2 linked regions of the Nothobranchius furzeri genome follow. The protein of the gene in region 2 interacts with the protein of the main gene of each other region in a pairwise test. Links are inferred from orthologs where the notes say so. Each region holds a gene or a part of one and is shown on either strand. Other genes may lie near its edges.

Region 1 (4,099 bases), on a different chromosome or scaffold from region 2:
CCAGTCCTGACACATCTTCACTGGCACCCTGTCATTTTCCGAGTACAGTTTAAGGTATTGATTTTTGTCTTTAAAGCACTCAACGAAGAAGAAGCTACAATGATGTTCTGCTGAGCTGTGGTGGCCTCATGGAGGGGGCCATCGTCTAGCACAATGCTGCTAACCACTCAAACATTCTCCCTCTCCTGATAATAACGTTTTGCTTTCCTTGACGTTGGATGTGCTACTGCTAGTTTATCCGTTTAATTATAGATCCACTAGGATAAATACAATAAAGTTTATCTCTCACCAAATAGAATATTTACTAAGAAATCACAATGTAACTATAGACACATTACTGTCTGTCTGTCTGTGTGTGTGTGTGTGTGTGTGTGTGTGTGTGTGTGTGTGTGTGTGTGTGTGTGTGTGTGTGTGTTATACTGAGCCAGGATTCTCTGGAGGTTTCTTCCTGTTAAAAGGGAGTTTTCCTCTCCACTGTCGCTTTATGCTTGCTTATTATGAGGATTGCTGTAAAGTCACTAGTCAGTGACTTGATGCAATTTGCTGGGTTCCTTATATAGGAAACATTATTTCTGATTGGCTTAATGAACTGACCTGAATTGGAATGTTTATTATGTGAAGTGCCTTGAGAAGACTCTTGTCGTGATTTGGCGCTATATAAATAAACTTGAATTGAACGACCTGTCACCTCCTAATCTCTCTGACCTGCTCACTCCCTATGTACCCACGCGCACGTTGAGGTCGGCTGGCCTCCTGCTGCTTTGCACTCCCCCGATGCGTTACAAATCATGGGGTGAACGAGCATTTGTACATGCTGCCCCAAAGCTGTGAAACTCTACCTATTACAGTTCGACAGGCTCCATCATTGGCGGTTTTTAAATCTCGTTTAAACACCCACTTCTACGATTTGGCTTTTACGCCGTGAGTCGTTTTGTTTTATTGTATTATTGTTTTGATGTGTTCTTAGTATTCCTCATGTTTTATTTGCTTTTATTGATCGGCATTTTTATCCTCTGTTGTTGCTGCTTTGATGGGTCGTGATTTGGTCCAGCCTGTGCAGCACTTTGGGCAGCTCCCATGCTGCGTTTTAAATGTGCTATATAAACAAACTATGGTATGGTAAGCTTGTAGTTTCTTGTCTTGTTCAACAGATGTTTAAATGGTAAATGGCCTGTATTTGTATAGCGCCTTCTTAGGGTCATACAACCCCCCCCCCCCCCCCCCCCCCCCCCCAAGGCATTTCACAACACAATCAGTCATTCACAAACTGGTGGGGATGAGCTACGATGTAGCCACAGATGCCCTGGGGTGCACTGACAGAAGCGGGGCTGTGGAGCACTGGCGTCACCGATCCCTCTGACCACCACAAGCAGGCAAGGTAGGTTAAGTGTCTTGCCCAAGGACACAATGACAGTGACAAACTGAGCGGGGCTTGAACCTGCAAACTTCCAATTACTGGACAACACGCTCTACCTCCTGAGCTACTGCTGTGTTTAGAAAAGTGGGCTCGACTCTGTCCGTCCTTGGCTGCCTGTTGGAAAGCCCTCTCAACAATGGATAATGGTGTTGCGTGTTTCCGTACTGACGCAGATGGAAAAGTATAAATTTGGCTTAGGCCTTCCAAATCGTGAGCCATGGTGGGTGAGTCCATGGATGTTAAGAGTCAGTGTAATGTAGATCTGTCAGGCTTTTAAAAACCTAGCATTTCACCATCTATTTTCTATCAGATGCCAATGCAGGAGATAGGTGTAGGAGACTATTTTCATGTTCAGCCTGCATGAAAAACTCTGAGTGACCCATTGTAATCAGAAATACGATTTTAAAAAATGGTTTCCAGTGTTCCACACCTTTAATAACACAATACAATACAATTATTGATGTCAAGTTGTTGTTATTGTTGTTGTTAGCCTCAGGGGCAACATGCCGATTATCACTTGTAAGTCGCTTTGGACAAAAGCGTCTGCTAAATACATAAACATAAACAATACATATCTTCCATCATAAGCTGATTAAGTTGTTCAAAATTAGTTTGCACATATGAGAACCAAGATTTACTCTTTTACAGTCATAAAGACAAAATAAAAGCTAAGAAATCTACCAAATGAGGACCAGCTGTACCACTTTGATGAGTGGAAGATCCGAATTCAGGTGTGTGTGATCACATCAAATGGAAAAATCCGCTAGAATGCTTTTAATCATTAGCAGGAACAAACATATTGTCTCTCACCTGAAGTCAGGGATGCCTGCTGAGGTGCTAATTCCAGCTCCAGAGTGGACAACCAAGTACTGAGATTCTTTAATCAGCTGAGCGAGGGCTTCCACTTTTGCTTTTAGCTCCTCCGGATTATCAAAACTCTGGCACAGATCAAAAACACACAATTAAACAATTAGCAAGGGGGCGACTATTGTATACAACCGTGCCAGATGTGTGGCAACAACAAAAGAACACACCATCATCTATCCTCCACCGTGCTTCATAGTGTTTATGTTAAATAACAAAGAGGCTAACACAGCACAGACGGTCTGCTCTACAACACCGTCTTTATATTATTACTCTTAAACGAACCAAACAAAAATGCATTCTCAATGAAAGCGACGCTACGTTGCTAATTTAACTAGCTCTTTGAAAAGCTCTCGGAGCGATACAACACCTAAATGTTACCTCAGGTAGACCGCAAACACCCTTATCCGCGTAAGGCGATAGTCCTGCAGCGTAGTTCACAGACATGACTGTAACTGTTTATTTTTTTTTTCTTTGTTTTACAAACTGTTCTTGTTTTATCTGTTGCGTATTTCTTCCAGCCAGGTTTAGGGTGCTTCGTTTGAATGACGACATCACTGTGCGCCGACACATGCTGCATTCAAGAACTTCAGGAATTAAAATACCTCAACGTGCGCTCCACCTTCGTTCAGACCAGTTTAGACTTGTGGTAGAGATTAGATTAGACCGTACAGCTGTTAGAAATTGAGTAAAAATTTAAATCCAAATTACACAATGAAACTGAATATATTAGAATAAAAAGTCTGATAATAAAAACTGAAAAATCCCACAGAACAAAACGGTTCGGTGCCTTTTAAAAATGGGATTTAACCTGATCAGACATTCCACAAACAAGGACATTTATTCTCAAACATATCTGTAAAATGACTACATTTAGACTAAAACTAAACAAAAATCTTCCATCTTCACCTGCAGAACAACTTTTAAAAAATCATTTAAATGACTCCAAGCTTTAAAAACAGTATGCATTTTTCTTTCAAATTAATCTTTATTTTTCATTTTTAAATATTTGAGAAAAAAAAAACAGACAGAAAAGTAAAACCATATGGTGATCATTCATACGTGTGCATATTGGATTATGGTTCCTGTAGAAGCTGTGAACTGACACTGAAGACCACCGAAAGAGGAAAGGAGTTGCTCGTCTCAATTGTTTTGTCGCGTATAATTTTATCCTGAGTAATTCAATATGATGTCCCAATTAAAGTAAATAAAACAATAATGCTTACTGAAGACAAAATTACACATAGGACATCCACACACTCTAAAAACAAAATCAAAACCACTCTTACAAAAAAATAAATCAATAAAGGGGGCTAACATTTCATTTTCAGTTGTAGGGCTGAAGAAGTTTGATCTCGGTAGTACACACCGACACAAGACTACCTATTCCAGTGCATGCCGAACATCTAACAAAGAAAAACTAAAATCATAGGGCCTGCAAGAAAGCAAAAAGAGAAACATCTGGCAAAGCGTATTAAAATTTAATTTACACTCTGCTTTAGTTCTTCGGGTCCATCAGGCGGCTCAGAGAGCAACGCTGAGGAGAAATACAATTCTAATCAATAATTAGTTCTGCCCCTCTAACCTTCAACAACTTGATTATTACACAACTTTAATAACAAGTTCATTCAAAAAAACACAACCCCACACTGAGTGACAGAAAAACACATCCAAGATAAAAACCCAGCAGAGATCAATTTCATGTTTTAGTAAGAATGTTCATATGAGGAGCTGACTCAGCAGACTCCAGCAGACGGGACGGCCCTCCATTGCCACGAGTCTCTCATGACGTTGGGAAACAGTCCACCAATTTAAAAA
Region 2 (3,513 bases):
TCAAAAACAAATTTAACACGCGATTGTTCATGTCGGCTCATTTCCTTTTATGTTTTCTGTCATTTATTTGTGCCTGATGCGTTTCGCTGCTGTGGAGCGGGAGTGCATCACATGTTTTGTCCTCCGGTGATTTCATCTCACCGGTGCGGTCAGTGCGCACTCCGCTGTTTTTGCGGTCGGTGGATCTTTTAGAACTGCAGTACAAAGGTAACTCATGAGGTGAATATATATGAACCCAGGTAGCAGTTTTTCTTTAGGATTGAGAGGAGATGCAGGAAGATAATAAACAGACAGGACAGAAAAAATAGTCAAATAAAAACAAGTTAGTTAGTTGTAAAGCAATTCTCCACCAGTGCAGCAGAGGGCGTAGCGCTTTTCTGTTGCTTCCTGCCACCAATGCGGTCACGTCTCTGTTTATGTTTCAGAGACGGTTTAACGTGGACTAATTTGTCCTTCACCTCATCATCATCATCAAGTCACCACCTCTAAACTCACCTTTCCTATAATTTCCTGACACAAATAAAAAGCTTGCAGCCTTTCTTTGTACTCCTTCAGTCACGGGTGTAATGTTTATATCGATGGACTTTTTGCACAAGACTTTCTTCAGTCTCTGAAGCTAATATGTTTGGTTCTCGTTTTATGTTTTTGAGGAGGTATGGCGGTGCTGTTGGAGAAGTTAAAGGAAGTGGCGTCCTGACCAATCACAGGCTTGCGGTCTCCGTCGCTTTCAACAGATAGTTAGAAAAGAGGGCTCTACTCTGTTCATCCTTGCGAGCCTGTTGGAGAGCCGTTGCCACAACGGATAATGGCATTGCTTTTCTTCGTGCTGACACACGGAGAAGTATAAATCAGGCTTCACCCCTGCTGCACACTGGAAGCATCAGCGGCGCGGAACGGCACTGCTTCAAATAGAATCCATTAAAGTCTATGGAGTGTCACAAACCAGTCACGACGCTGCAATTTTCAGATGTGTCCCAGAAATGGCACCCTGCGCCACTAAAGATCAAATCAAATCAAACTTTATTTATGAAGCACTTTTCATACAGCAAGTGCAAATCAAAGCGCTGTACGAGATTCAAAACAAACACGGAAAGATTGGACCGGGCTCTATATTTTCCACAAGCCGCTTTTGGGATGCGTCAATTTCCACAGTTAACATAGAGCAAGACAGGAAATCACACACAGTTTCAGTGTGAAATCCCCAGTAATTTTCAAAATAAAAGTACTGCAGCAATGGGATTCATATATATGAGGCTTACGTGTGACCCAACGACGTATTTACTCCCAGCATCGTTCCTGAAGTGCAGCGGTGTGTTTTTCATGGCTTTAATCCTGGCACTGGAGAGGGACAACATCTTATATGACATCAAACAGCAATAACAACGGGATTTCCTTCATTTTGGTTCAACGGCGGATTGCATAAACAGACCGTAACCTTTGAAGTCTCGAGGGATCGTGTGTTCCTGCGAGTCGAGCGAGGAGCGCAGCAGAGAAGCCGCTTCGCTACGATTTTCGCGGGTAAACTGTTCCGCTTCTACGCTATTCTGGCCACAGAGGGCGGTGGGGGTCTTTGTGACATTTCAATAACCCCGTAACGGGTCATTTTAGCACACACTGGCTCAAGAAAAGCATATGAAAATATGAAAAAGCTTCAAAGAATCACTTTAAATGTGAACCAGGGTGGGTTTGTCTCTACTCAAACTAACCGTTTGCCTGTCAGTCAAGTCAGAATGAAACTTTATTTCTCCAAACTAATATCATATTACGTAACATCGCCTATCGCATATCATGCATGTAACAGTGCAAAATATGCCAACTACTTCATTTTAGGTTGGGCCTTTTGTGCCAAACAAACAAAAACAACTCAAAATCTAAACCTCAGATCTGTCAGATTTTGACTTTGAGTGAGAGAAGAAGTAGCTGAAGACTTGGATGCATAAATGTGTTAGTGTGGAGAAGTTGTGACATTAAAAGAACAAAAGCTGATACTGGTCATTTCCCATTTCACATTTCGGTGCCAATATATCCAGTTATACCAGTAAAATATAATGCACAAGCAGAACTGTCTTACTCTTTTTCTTCTTCTTGGCGGGCCGTCCTCTCTTGTTCTTCTTCGCCCGTCCAGAGCTGTCCGAGCGAACCGAGGAGCTGTGAACGCTGGAGTCCTCCTGCTCAGACTCCTCCTCATCCATGTCGTCGCTCTGAAGCACAAATCACAACAAACACAAATTCACTAATAACACACTGGTTACTGATCGCCCGAGATGAAGAGTTTCCTGCACCGTGTGAAGGTTGGACTCACAGAGCAACTCTTCTTCCTCTTGGCTCCAATGGCTAATAGTTTAATACGAATGGGCGCCATCTTCTTGGCCTTGGCCACAGCTTTTTTCTTGTCTGCTACTCGAGGACTTTTACTGCGTTTCTTGTATCCTGGACCTGGAAAGAGAAGAAGGTTCTCTGCCACCTCTGTTTCTGACGATTATCTAAACAGGATCAAAGGCAAACAGTACACAGACAGAGCCAAAGCTCACCACTGACCTTTGCCCTCTTTCGTCTTGGCCTTTCTGATCGGCGGCGGTTGAGGAGGCGGCTCGGGGGAGGCAGTCGCTGCAGAAACCTGCTCGGCAACAGCGATGGCGGCGGCGGCGGCAGCCGCTGCTACAGCAGCGGCGTTGCCTTTGAAGGGGTTGTTGGAGCTGAACTCCCTCCACTTGGCCCCTAGGATGGTCATCATCTTTGACATGGGGATCTTAGGGTTCTTCTTGGCTATCATCGGCCTGGGACCAGCAGAAGGTCAAACTCAAGAAAATGGCAAGGTTTCCAAGCTGGAAAAGCTCTACTAAACACCTCCTGAAGTGGCAAAGCACCCTCGATGTTTGCAAACTTTAATATCATATTAAAAACAAAGTACCTCATAAACTGGCTGAAGGCTTTGTAGTTTGTGAGTTCCCTGTAGTCCTCCTCCGTGAAGGTATGATCAACGTCCTCCAGTCCCCACTCCTTCGCCAGCTGGGCAGAGGTCTTCTGCTCCACAGGCTGCTGAGAAGATACCAGGTCGGGCTTTTCCAAGAACTTATATGACAACCAAACTCTTAATTCTTACCTTTGCTGTTTCCTCCTGACTGCTATCTCTGTCTCTGTTGTCTTTTTTCTTCCTCTTGGTTTTCTTCTCTTTCCTTTCTTTGTGTTTCTTCTTTTTCTTCTTCTCTCCAGAGCCATAGTCGCTGGCTGCACTGTCCGAGTTCCCGCCATAGTCTCTGTCCGAGTTTCGCTCTACATCGCTGTCCTGCACAGTGGACTGACACAACAGGTTCAGACAGGGACCTCAGTCATCAGACGGAAAATGATGCGGACAGAAAACCCATTAAACTTACAATCTTCTTCCGTTTTTTTGCTTTGACCGGCTTCCCCTCTTTCTCTTTCTTCTTTGTGTCTTTCTTCTTGGGTCTGCCTTTCTTCCGGCACGGGACCTCTCTCTCTGATAGCTCCACTTCATCTTCTGGGGTTAAAGAG

What was found. The genes of interacting proteins can lie anywhere in the genome.
Region 1: the proteins of chd3 (region 2) and sirt6 interact in a two-hybrid assay, tested with the Homo sapiens proteins (2 studies listed by BioGRID and IntAct). The link is inferred for Nothobranchius furzeri from reciprocal best matches to the Homo sapiens genes CHD3 and SIRT6.

The regions. Positions count from the first base shown.
Region 1 is NC_091751.1:57,913,010-57,917,108, reverse strand, and holds the start of sirt6 (NAD-dependent protein deacylase sirtuin-6), read right to left. Parts: upstream 2,803-4,099; 5' UTR 2,729-2,802; coding exon 2,663-2,728; intron 2,356-2,662; coding exon 2,228-2,355; intron 1-2,227. UniProt on the Homo sapiens protein: NAD-dependent protein deacetylase, deacylase and mono-ADP-ribosyltransferase that plays an essential role in DNA damage repair, telomere maintenance, metabolic homeostasis, inflammation, tumorigenesis and aging.
Region 2 is NC_091742.1:58,727,765-58,731,277, forward strand, and holds part of chd3 (chromodomain-helicase-DNA-binding protein 3), read right to left. Parts: intron 3,500-3,513; coding exon 3,375-3,499; intron 3,299-3,374; coding exon 3,104-3,298; intron 3,040-3,103; coding exon 2,912-3,039; intron 2,778-2,911; coding exon 2,539-2,777; intron 2,437-2,538; coding exon 2,303-2,436; intron 2,202-2,302; coding exon 2,072-2,201; intron 1-2,071.